3 linked regions of the Macaca mulatta genome follow. The protein of the gene in region 1 interacts with the protein of each later gene in a pairwise test. Links are inferred from orthologs where the notes say so. Each region holds a gene or a part of one and is shown in the gene's direction. Other genes may lie near its edges.

Region 1 (3,517 bases):
TTTCTTTAAAAATATGAACCTATTTATTTCTTCTTTCACCCTGAAAATAAGCAAAATCTGAAGGGATTTTTTTTCTTTTCTTTTTAAAATGTATTTTAGGTCCAGGGGGTACATATGCAGGTTTGTTTCATGGGTAGTTTGCATAATGGTGAGGCTCAGGCTTCCAGTGAACTCATCATCCAAATTGCGAACATTATACCCAACAGGTAAATTTTCAGCCCTTAACCTGCCACTCCCCTTTTAAGAGTCCTCAGTGTCTATTATTTCCAGCTTTGTTTCCACGTGCACCCCATTTTTAGCTCCCACTTATAAGTGAGAACATGTGTTATTTGACTTTCTGTTTCTGGGTTATTTTACTCTAGGAGATTGGCCTAGCTCCATCCATGTTGCTGCCAAGGGCACAATTTCATTTTTTTTATGGCTGCGTAGTATTCCATGCTGTATATATAACACAGTTTCTTTATCTAATCAAACATTAACGGACAACTTAGATTGATACCATGACCTTGCTGTTGTGAACAGTGCTGCAATAAACATACAAATGCAGGTGCCCTTTTGATTAAAAAAAAAAAAAGAAAAGAAAAAGTTATTTTCCTTTAGGATTTACCCAGAAGTGGAGCTGCTAGGTAGAATGGTAGTTCTATTTTTAGTTCTTTGAGAAATTTCCATACTGTTTCCCAAAGAGATTGAACTAACTTACATTCCTACCAACAGTGTATAAGCATTCCCTTCTCTCTGCAGCCTCACCACCATCTGTTACTTTTTCTGACCTTTTAGTAATAGCCATTCTGACTGGTGTGAGTTGGTATCTCATTGTGGTTTTGATTTGCATTTCTCTGATGTTTAGTGATATTGAGCATTTGTTCATCTGTTGGTTGACTGCCTCTTTTGAGAAATGTGTGTTCATGTCCTTTGCCCCCTTTTTAATAGGATTGATTTTTTCTTGTTGAATTGTTTGCATTCCTTGTAGAATCTGTTGGATGTATAGTTTGCAAATATTTTCTCCCATCATGTAGGCTGTCTGCTTACTCTGTTGATTGTTTATTTTGCCACGCAGGAGCTCATTAGCTTAATTAAGTCCCATTTGTCTGTTTTTGTTTTTGTTGCATTTGCTTTTGAGGTGTTAGTCATAAACATGTTGCCTAGGCCAATATCCAGAAGAGTTTTTCCTAGATTTTCTTATTATAGTTTTGGGTACATTTAAGTCTTTAATCCATTGTGCATTCATTTTTGTATATGGTAAGGGATAAAGTTCTAGTTTCATTCTTCTGCATATGGCTAGCCAACTTTCCCAGGGTGTCCTTTCCTCATTGTTTATGTTTGTTGACTTTGTCGAACATCAGTTTGTTGTAGGTATGTGGCTTTATTTCTGGGTTCTCTATTCTGTTCCATTGATCTATATGTCTATTTTTGTATCAGTGCCATGCTTCTTTGGTTATTACAGTCTTACAGTATAGTTTGATGTCAGGTAATGTGATGCCTCCAACTTTGTTCTTTTAGCTTAGGATTGCTTTGGCAATTTGGGCTCCTTTTTGGTTCCATATGAATTTTAGAATTGTCTTTTCTAATTCTGTAAAAAATGACATTGGCAATTTGTAGACTGCTTTTGGCAGTATAGTCACTTTAACAGTATTGATTCTTGTTATCCATGAGCATGGGATGTTTTTCCATTCATTTGTGTCATCTATGGTTCCCTCATCAGTGCTTTGTAGTTCTCCTTGTAGGGGTCTTTCACCTCCTTGGTTAAATGTATTATCCTAGGGGTGTGTGTGAGGTGTGTGTGTGTGTGTGTGTGTGTGTGTGTGTTATTATAAATGGGATTGAACTCTTGATTTGATTCTCGGCTTGAGCATTATTGATGTAACTGATTTTTGTGCATTAATTTTGTATCCTGAAACTTTACTGAACTTATCGGCTCCAGGAGTCTTTTGGAGGAATATTTAGGGTTTTCTAGGCATAAGATCCTGTCATCAGCAGAGATAATTTCACTTCCTCTTTTCCAGTTTGGATGCTTTTTGTTTTTTTCTCTTGCCTGACAGTTCTGGCTGGGACTTCCAATACTATAGGAGTGGTAAGAGTGGAAATTCTTGTCTTGTTCCAGTTCTTAGGGGGAATGCTCTTAGCTTTTTCCCATTCAGTATGATGTTGGCTGTGGGTTTGTCATACATAGCTCTTATTATTTTGAAATATGTTCCTTCAATGCCAACTGCTATGGATCTTTTCCTAGGGTTCAGGTGAAGAGATGAGCAAAAATAGTCTAATAAACACTTTATGTCATGAAAAGTTATAAAGCAAATAACTGGAAACTTAATGTCATTTAAGTATATTAAAATTTTTCCTACCTAGTTTCTTTAGGACTCAGAATATTCTGTCTGTTGAGATATTTTACAAAGAAATTGATTGCCATGTGTACCAATTGTGGATTACGAATTCTCTAAGAATTAGAATCCACACTTAATAGCAAAGATTCAGAAGGCGCTTAAAGGATTGTTCAATCTCTCAAGGTCATCACTGTAAATATTGCTTATTATATCAGAGACACACACACACAGGTAAGAGTAATGAAGAGAATGCCAGACAACAGTCCGTTCTTCCATTCATCCATTCAGTAAGCATTTACTGAGTACTACTTTGTGGAGGCAAAAGCATGTGGAGACTCAATCATTGAACTAAGTTTCTGTCCATAGAATTTACAATGCTTAATATTCCATCTGTCTAAAGAGTAAAAGGATTTGTCAGTATTCGGAGCCCTTTAAGTCATTAACAGAACCCAAGGCTCCTAACACCCCCTTTCATTAGAAGCATAAACAAGCAATTATTTCACTTAGTAACTGGAATTCAAATATAAATAATAAGCAAATGGCAGCCTTTATGTCTGCCCATTTTCTGATTTTTCTACCATCTTGCCATATCTGCTGTCAGCTACTTATGTGTGGGTGAATGTAAATGCCAGGCAAGCTAACATGAAGGAAATTATGCATTCTTATTACAATGAATATCAACATCTAGACCTAGTGTTAAAGACAGTCCTAAGCAGTTATATCTCTGGATGATGAAGAGAGTCTTCAATATAAAGCAAAGGCCATAAGTGTTCTGCCAACCAAAGTTCGCTAAGGGAAGCTAAATCAGTATCTATGACAAAAAAATCCCACACCAGGAACATCACCTTCATGAAGCTGACACCCAACATCAATATTTAAATTTACATATTGTTGCTTATACATTCATTATTAATACAAAGAACTTGAATAACCTGATGTACTTCTTAACTCATAATTTTTCTATTACAGTTAAATATGAAAGGATCAAATTTTTGGTGATTGCCTTAAAGAATGCTGTGGAAATATATGCTTGGGCTCCTAAACCATATCATAAATTCATGGCATTTAAGGTAAGCAGGCATGTGATTATCTAAAAATGTGCTTTTTAAAAATTTTCAGTTTCTACCCATTAATAAAATAGTCCATATAGACCAATACCAATTTTCATATAGATAATAAGTGTAGGTACTCTTGGT
Region 2 (3,517 bases), on another chromosome or scaffold:
GGTCGCCCTACTTCAGATGCTAAGATGTAGCTACCTGCCAGCTTCATGATCCATCATGCATGTTAAAAGCATTTCAAAGGCTCTGAGATGTTGTGCAGTAAAGAAACCTGTGTAACTCCATGAAACCCAGAGTTTTCCAAATTGACCAGGGAATTCATTTTTTTTTTTTTTTTTCTGGCTGCTTTGAGCACAGCTCCATGGAAGCCACTTCAGGGAATGCTGGCCTGGATGCAGCTCTACCTTTTTTTCAAGCTTCATGCCCTTTCTTGGCCTCAGTATCAGTTCTCACCGTTCTTTTTTTTTTTTTTTTCTTTTTTTTGAGATGGAGTCTTGCTCTGTTGCCCAGGCTGGAGTGCAATGGCACAATCTCAGCTCACTGCAACCTCCACCTCCAGGGTTCAAGTGATTCCCCGCCTCAGCCTCCTGAGTAGCTGGGATTACAGGCACGCGCCACCACACCCAGCTAATTTTTTGTGTTTTTAGTAGAGGTGGGGTTTCACCATATTGGCCAGGCTGGTCTCGAACTCTTAACTTTGGCCTCTTGGTCTGCCTGCCTTGGCCTCCCACAGTGCTGGGATTAACAGGCCAGTTCTCACCATTCTGTGAGAATCCTCAAATAGCTCCTGGGGAAGGAGCATGTCTCATGCTCACACTTTTGTGGTTATCACTGGAGTTTGACCTTCAACAATTCTGGTTTTATAATAAAGCACATCACATTTGGAGAAAAGAGCGTGTCTCAAAGAGCTACAACTAAGAGCTACTTCTTAGTTGAGGAGTAGGTGAGCCAGAAGGAAAGGAAGTAGGCAGCATGGGTGGCACTTGTGTCTTGGCTCAGAGGGAGGTGGGCTGTCTTTGCCCAGCAGGGAACAGGGGATGATGGAGCAGGACAAAGACCTCACGTAACTCTGGGGTGTGGATAGGCTAATTTTTTTTTGAAGACTAACACACTTATTTATAGAGACTTTAATATAGAAAAGTAGAAGAGGAAAAGTTTTTCCATAATCCTTTTGCCCAAGGACAAGTCACTGTTAACATTTGATCTATTTCTTCCTATTCTTTTCCTCTGTGCTTTTTTGACAGTGGCTATGCACAAAATTATGAATTTTTCACATAAACAGTACATATGATAATATTCAAAATGGACTATAAACATCCTTTGTAATGATGTACCATTTACTCTTTGTAGGAACCACAGTTTGTTTAACCTGTCTCTTTTAAGCATCTGGGTTGATTCTGATTTTATTTTTTTTGCCATAAGTTAATACTGTACCGAATATTTTTAAGCATCTTTTTCTTTGTCAGGGGATTCCTTTGAGATAGAGTCTTTGTTTTGTTTTGTTTTGTTTTTTGAGACAGAGTCTCGCTCTGTCACCCAGGCTGGAGTGTAGTGGTTTGATCTCGGTTCACTGCAACCTCCGCCTTGCGGGTTCAAGCGATTCTCCTGCCTCAGCATCCCAAGTAGCTGGGAGTGCAGGTGCGCACCACCACACCAGCTAATTTTTGTATTTTTAGTAGAGACGGGGTTTCACCATGTTGGCCAGGCTGGTCTCGAACTTCTGACCTCAAGTAATATGCCCGCCTTGGCCTCCCAAAGTGCTGGGATTACAGGTGTGAGCCGCTGCACCTGGCCTGAGATAGATTCTTAGAGAATTATTGGGTCAAATGGCAAGGACCCATTAGAGAATTTTGACAGCTGGTGTGGCTTTGGTGTTGAAAGCCTGCCATTCCCTTTGCATGCCAGGGGGCATGGTTGCAATAGAAAGATAAGATTCAGGGAGTCTGCAGCCTGCTTTGGAAGATGAAATTTAAATACCAGAAGCAGAGAATAGAAAATGAGGCTTCAGTGAGAGGGTAGTCACTGAGTAGATGATCAGCGCACTAAATCGGAGAGAGGTGCTGTCCACATGGGTTCCAGGAGCTGGGAAGCTTCTAGGAGTTAGGGAACAGTTGGATCTTAAAGGGTGAGTGGATTCTTCAAGCCGGTGGGAAGGGGATTCCAGGTGGGTGAATGAAGGGAAGCCTGAACTGGAGCAGGGGTGCACACTTGCATGCTGGGTGGCCATCCTGTGGGAAGGCCTGCCCTGGGCAGAGGGCCTGGCACCCAGCACCTCCTTGAGTGTGTGAGCCTGTGGTCTCTGTGTGGCTCAGCCAGCCTCGTGTCTTCCTGTAGGATGCCCTAAATGAGACCAGGGAATCAGAGACAAAGCTGAAGGAGTTCCCAGGAGTGTGCAATGAGACCATGATGGCCCTCTGGGAAGAGTGTAAGCCCTGCCTGAAACAGACCTGCATGAAGTTCTACGCACGCGTCTGCAGAAGTGGCTCGGGCCTGGTTGGCCGCCAGGTGAAAAGGGACACATCAGTGGCCAAGGCTGAGTGGGGAAGGACGGGAGCCTAGTGAAATATGCTTCATTCCACATGCCAGATGCAATTGATTAGTATTGGCTGGCTGCATTGGGTCCCAGAGTGCCATGCTCCATTGGTGATGTCTGGCATGAGTAGTGAGAGTGGAGTCATCAAAAGGATGTAGGCCAGGTATCTACCTTCTCTTAGAAAACTCATGCAGCAGTGCTTAGCTGGATGACATAACCACTTTGTGGGATGGCAGAGCCCTGTGTCCACTTATGTGGAAGGATTTAAGAATTTTTTTTTTTTTTTTGAGACAGGGTCTCACTCTGTCACCCAGGCTGGGGTGCAGTGGTGTGATCATGTTTCACTGCAGCTTTGACCTCCTGGGTTCAGGTGATCCTCCCACCTCAGCCTCCTAAGTAGCTGGGACCAGAGGCACACACCACCATACCCAGCTAAGTTTTGTATTTTTTTTGTAAACATGGGGTTTGGCCAAGTTGCCCCGGCTGGTCTCAAACTCCTAAGCTCAAGTAATCCTCCTACCTCAGCCTCCCAAATTGTTGGGATTACAGATGTGTGCCACTGTGCCCAGCCAATGTAAGATTTTTTTAGTGTATTAGTATTGCTCCTGTCCTCTGCTGCAGGGCTTTTTTGATTGGGACTCAGTGAATTGCTCCAGTCCCTGAAGTCACATCAGTTGGCCCTTAGCTGAGCAGGGGGTGGATATCATTGGTGGCCAAAGATGACCGTGGATGAACCTGAAATGTTGGGCCTTGTGACTCTTATGGCCTCCCAGGTGTCTCAAAACTGTCCCCCATGGAGGGAGGTAAAAGGAAAGGGCGTGGACCTGACAGTTGGGGTGCTGGGGGCTGGTCCCGCTGGGCTGTTGGTCACTTGCTGTGTGACTGTTACAGCCATGGGCAGGGCCTGGCCTGGCTCCCGAGGGAGTGGGAGGCCAGAAGGCCATGGCCTTGGTGAGCTTCTCCTAATTGTGCCCATGCTGGCTGTCCCAGCTCGAGGAGTTCCTGAACCAGAGCTCACCCTTCTACTTCTGGATAAACGGCGACCGCATAGACTCCCTGCTGGAGAACGACCGGCAGCAGACACACATGATGGATGTCATGCAGGACCGCTTCAGCCGCGCATCCAGCATCATGGACGAGCTCTTCCA
Region 3 (3,517 bases), on another chromosome or scaffold:
ACTAAGTTACTGAAGCAAAACTTTGACCGAGGGCCTCTGCTTGACTTTGTCATGCTGAAGTAATCACAATAACAAATATGCCTTGGCCTGTGTCTGCGCTTAGCCTTGTCTCCGTTCCAGAATAGAATCCCAAATAAGAACTGGGGGAGAGTATCTGCTTTGCTTTCAAAATTCTGTTTAAACCAAAAGTTTAGGACCAAGTTGATATGCCATAAATGGTATAGTTGTCTTAGATGTCACTTGAGGTTCAACCTTTTAAGCATTGCATATCTCTAAATTTCTGACTGACTTAAGAGCCCAGGACTGAAGTTAAGACAGACCATTAGGAATCTGTTTTTGTTGTTTTTCTTTTCCATAGCCCTTGCCCATGACACACATTGAAGTCACCAGAATACATGTGAGGAACTTTGATTTGTTTTTATCTTTCTGAATGTGTTTAGAGTATATGCAGTACTTTAGCTATAGAGAATACTAAATATTTAGAATGTTGATCAGTTATTAAGAAAAATGAGAATATAACAGTTTGGAGACATCTAAAATCAGACTGGGTTTTTAAACTAAAACTTTTAATCACAGAAATGTTAAGAGAAATTTCTTCTAAGAAGGCCATAACTACTGTAGTGTTTGCTCACAAGTAGTGTTGGGTACACGAGTTCTAGGTCTCATTATTGTGGAAAAAATTGAGGGGCAGGACCAACATTTACTTTTTGTAGAATTTTTTAAAAAGGAAACTTCTATCAATCTTTTGGTAATGAGATGAAGCGGTATAATTTGCCAGAATCTAAAAATGCCATCTTACATTTTCATTTTTTTCCCTAAAGGAACAAGATAAAAAAGTAGAAAACTCAAATAAAGAAGAAATACAGGAAAAGGAGACAATCATTGAAGAATTAAACACAAAAATAATAGAAGAAGAAAAGAAAACTCTTGAGCTAAAGGATAAATTAACAGCTGCTGATAAATTACTAGGAGAATTACAAGAACAGGTTGTGCAAAAGAACCAAGAAATAAAAAATATGAAATTAGAGCTGACTAATTCTAAGCAAAAAGAAAGACAATCTTCTGAAGAAATAAAACAGTTAATGGGGACAGTCGAAGAACTTCAGAAGAGAAATCATAAAGACAGCCAGTTCGAAACTGATATAGTACAACGAATGGAACAAGAAACACAAAGAAAGTTAGAACAACTCCGAGCAGAGCTGGATGAGATGTATGGGCAGCAGATAGTGCAAATGAAACAAGAATTAATAAGACAACACGTGTCACAGATGGAGGAACTTAAAACACGGCATAAGGGAGAAATGGAGAATGCTTTAAGGTCATATCCAAATATTACAGTTAATGAAGATCAGATAAAGTTAATGAATGTGGCAATAAATGAACTGAATATAAAATTGCAAGATACTAACTCTCAAAAGGAAAAACTCAAGGAAGAACTAGGAGTAATTTTAGAAGAAAAGTGTGCTCTGCAGAGACAGCTTGAAGACCTTTTTGAAGAATTGAGCTTTTCAAGGGAACAAATTCAGAGAGCTAGACAGACAATAGCTGAACAAGAAAGTAAACTGAATGAAGCACAAAAGTCCCTTAGTACAGTGGAAGATTTGAAAGCTGAGATTGTTTCTGCATCTGAATCCCGAAAGGAACTAGAATTAAAACATGAAGCAGAAGTTACAAATTATAAGATAAAACTTGAAATGTTAGAAAAAGAAAAGAATGCTGTGTTAGACAGAATGGCTGAATCACAAGAAGCTGAATTAGAGAGGCTGAGAACACAGCTTCTATTTAGTCATGAAGAAGAACTTTCCAAATTGAAGGAAGATTTAGAAATTGAACATCAAATAAATATTGAAAAACTTAAAGATAATTTAGGCATTCACTATAAACAGCAGATAGATGGTTTACAGAATGAAATGAGTCAAAAGATAGAAACCATGCAGTTTGAAAAAGACAATTTGATAACTAAGCAGAATCAATTAATTTTGGAAATTTCGAAGCTAAAAGATTTACAGCAGTCTCTTGTAAATTCAAAGTCAGAAGAAATGACTCTTCAAATCAATGAACTTCAAAAAGAAATTGAAATACTCAGACAAGAAGAAAAGGAAAAGGGTACACTTGAACAAGAAGTTCAAGAATTACAACTTAAAATAGAACTATTAGAAAAACAGATGAAGGAAAAAGAGAATGATCTTCAAGAAAAATTCACACAACTTGAAGCAGAGAATAGCATTCTTAAAGATGAAAAGAAAGCTCTTGAAGACATGTTGAAAATACATACTCCGGATAACCAAGAAGAAAGATTGATTTTCATAGACTCCATTAAGTCCAAATCCAAAGACTCTGTCTGGGAAAAAGAAATAGAAATACTTACAGAGGAAAATGAGGACCTCAAACAGCAATGTATTCAGCTAAATGAAGAGATTGAAAAGCAAAGGAACACTTTTTCATTTGCGGAAAAAAACTTTGAAGTTAACTATCAAGAGTTACAAGAGGAATATGCTTGCCTTCTCAAAGTAAAAGATGATTTAGAAGACAGTAAAAATAAACAGGAATTAGAGTATAAAAGTAAGCTTAAAGCACTTAATGAAGAGCTTCATTTGCAAAGAATAAATCCAACTACAGTGAAAACGAAAAGTTCTGTCTTTGATGAAGACAAAACTTTTGTAGCAGAAACATTGGAAATGGGTGAGGTTGTTGAGAAGGATACAACAGAACTCATGGAAAAACTTGAGGTAACCAAGCGAGAGAAATTAGAGCTGTCACAGAGACTAGCTGATCTTTCTGAACAATTGAAACAGAAACATGGTGAGATTAGTTTTCTAAATGAAGAAGTTAAATCTTTAAAGCAAGAGAAAGAACAAGTTTTATTGAGATGTAGAGAGCTAGAAATCATTATTAACCACAACAGGGCAGAAAATGTACAGTCATGTGATACTCAAGTAAGCTCCTTATCAGATGGAGTTGTGACTATGACAAGCAGGGATGCTGAAGGATCAGTTTCTAAAGTAAATAAAAGTTTTGGTGAAGAATCAAAAATAATGGTGGAAGATAAAGTTTCTTTTGAAAATATGACTACTGGAAAAGAAAGTAAGCAAGAACAGTTGATTTTGGATCACTTACCATCTGTAACAAAGGAATCATCACTTAGAGCAGCTCAACCAAGTGAAAATGATAAACTTCAGAAAGAACTCAATGTACTTAAATCAGAACAGGTATGTTTACTTATTTACATATGGTAAAGCACAATGAAAATGTACGTTTCGGCCAGGCGCAGTGGCTCACGCCTGTAATCGTAGCACTTTGGGAGGCCAAGGCTGGCGGATCACAAGGTCAGGAGATCAAGACCATCCTGGCTAACATGGTGAAACCCTGTCTCTACTAAAAACACAAAAAATTAGCTGGGCATGGTGGCGGGTGCCTGTAGTCCCAGCTGCTGGGGAGACTGAGGCAGGAAAATGGCGTGAACCCAGGAGGCAGAGCTTGCAGTGAGCCAAGATCGTGCCACTGTGCTCTAGCCTGG

What was found.
Region 2: the proteins of TNIK (region 1) and CLU interact in a two-hybrid assay, tested with the Homo sapiens proteins (2 studies listed by BioGRID and IntAct). The link is inferred for Macaca mulatta from reciprocal best matches to the Homo sapiens genes TNIK and CLU.
Region 3: the proteins of TNIK (region 1) and AKAP9 interact in a two-hybrid assay, tested with the Homo sapiens proteins (2 studies listed by BioGRID and IntAct). The link is inferred for Macaca mulatta from reciprocal best matches to the Homo sapiens genes TNIK and AKAP9.

The regions. Positions count from the first base shown.
Region 1 is NC_133407.1:82,747,732-82,751,248, reverse strand, and holds part of TNIK (TRAF2 and NCK-interacting protein kinase), read left to right. Parts: intron 1-3,290; coding exon 3,291-3,391; intron 3,392-3,517. UniProt on the Homo sapiens protein: Serine/threonine kinase that acts as an essential activator of the Wnt signaling pathway. Recruited to promoters of Wnt target genes and required to activate their expression. May act by phosphorylating TCF4/TCF7L2.
Region 2 is NC_133413.1:29,347,311-29,350,827, reverse strand, and holds part of CLU (clusterin precursor), read left to right. Parts: intron 1-2,170; coding exon 2,171-2,341; intron 2,342-3,359; coding exon 3,360-3,517.
Region 3 is NC_133408.1:127,374,412-127,377,928, reverse strand, and holds part of AKAP9 (A-kinase anchor protein 9), read left to right. Parts: intron 1-821; coding exon 822-3,209; intron 3,210-3,517. UniProt on the Homo sapiens protein: Scaffolding protein that assembles several protein kinases and phosphatases on the centrosome and Golgi apparatus. Required to maintain the integrity of the Golgi apparatus. Required for microtubule nucleation at the cis-side of the Golgi apparatus.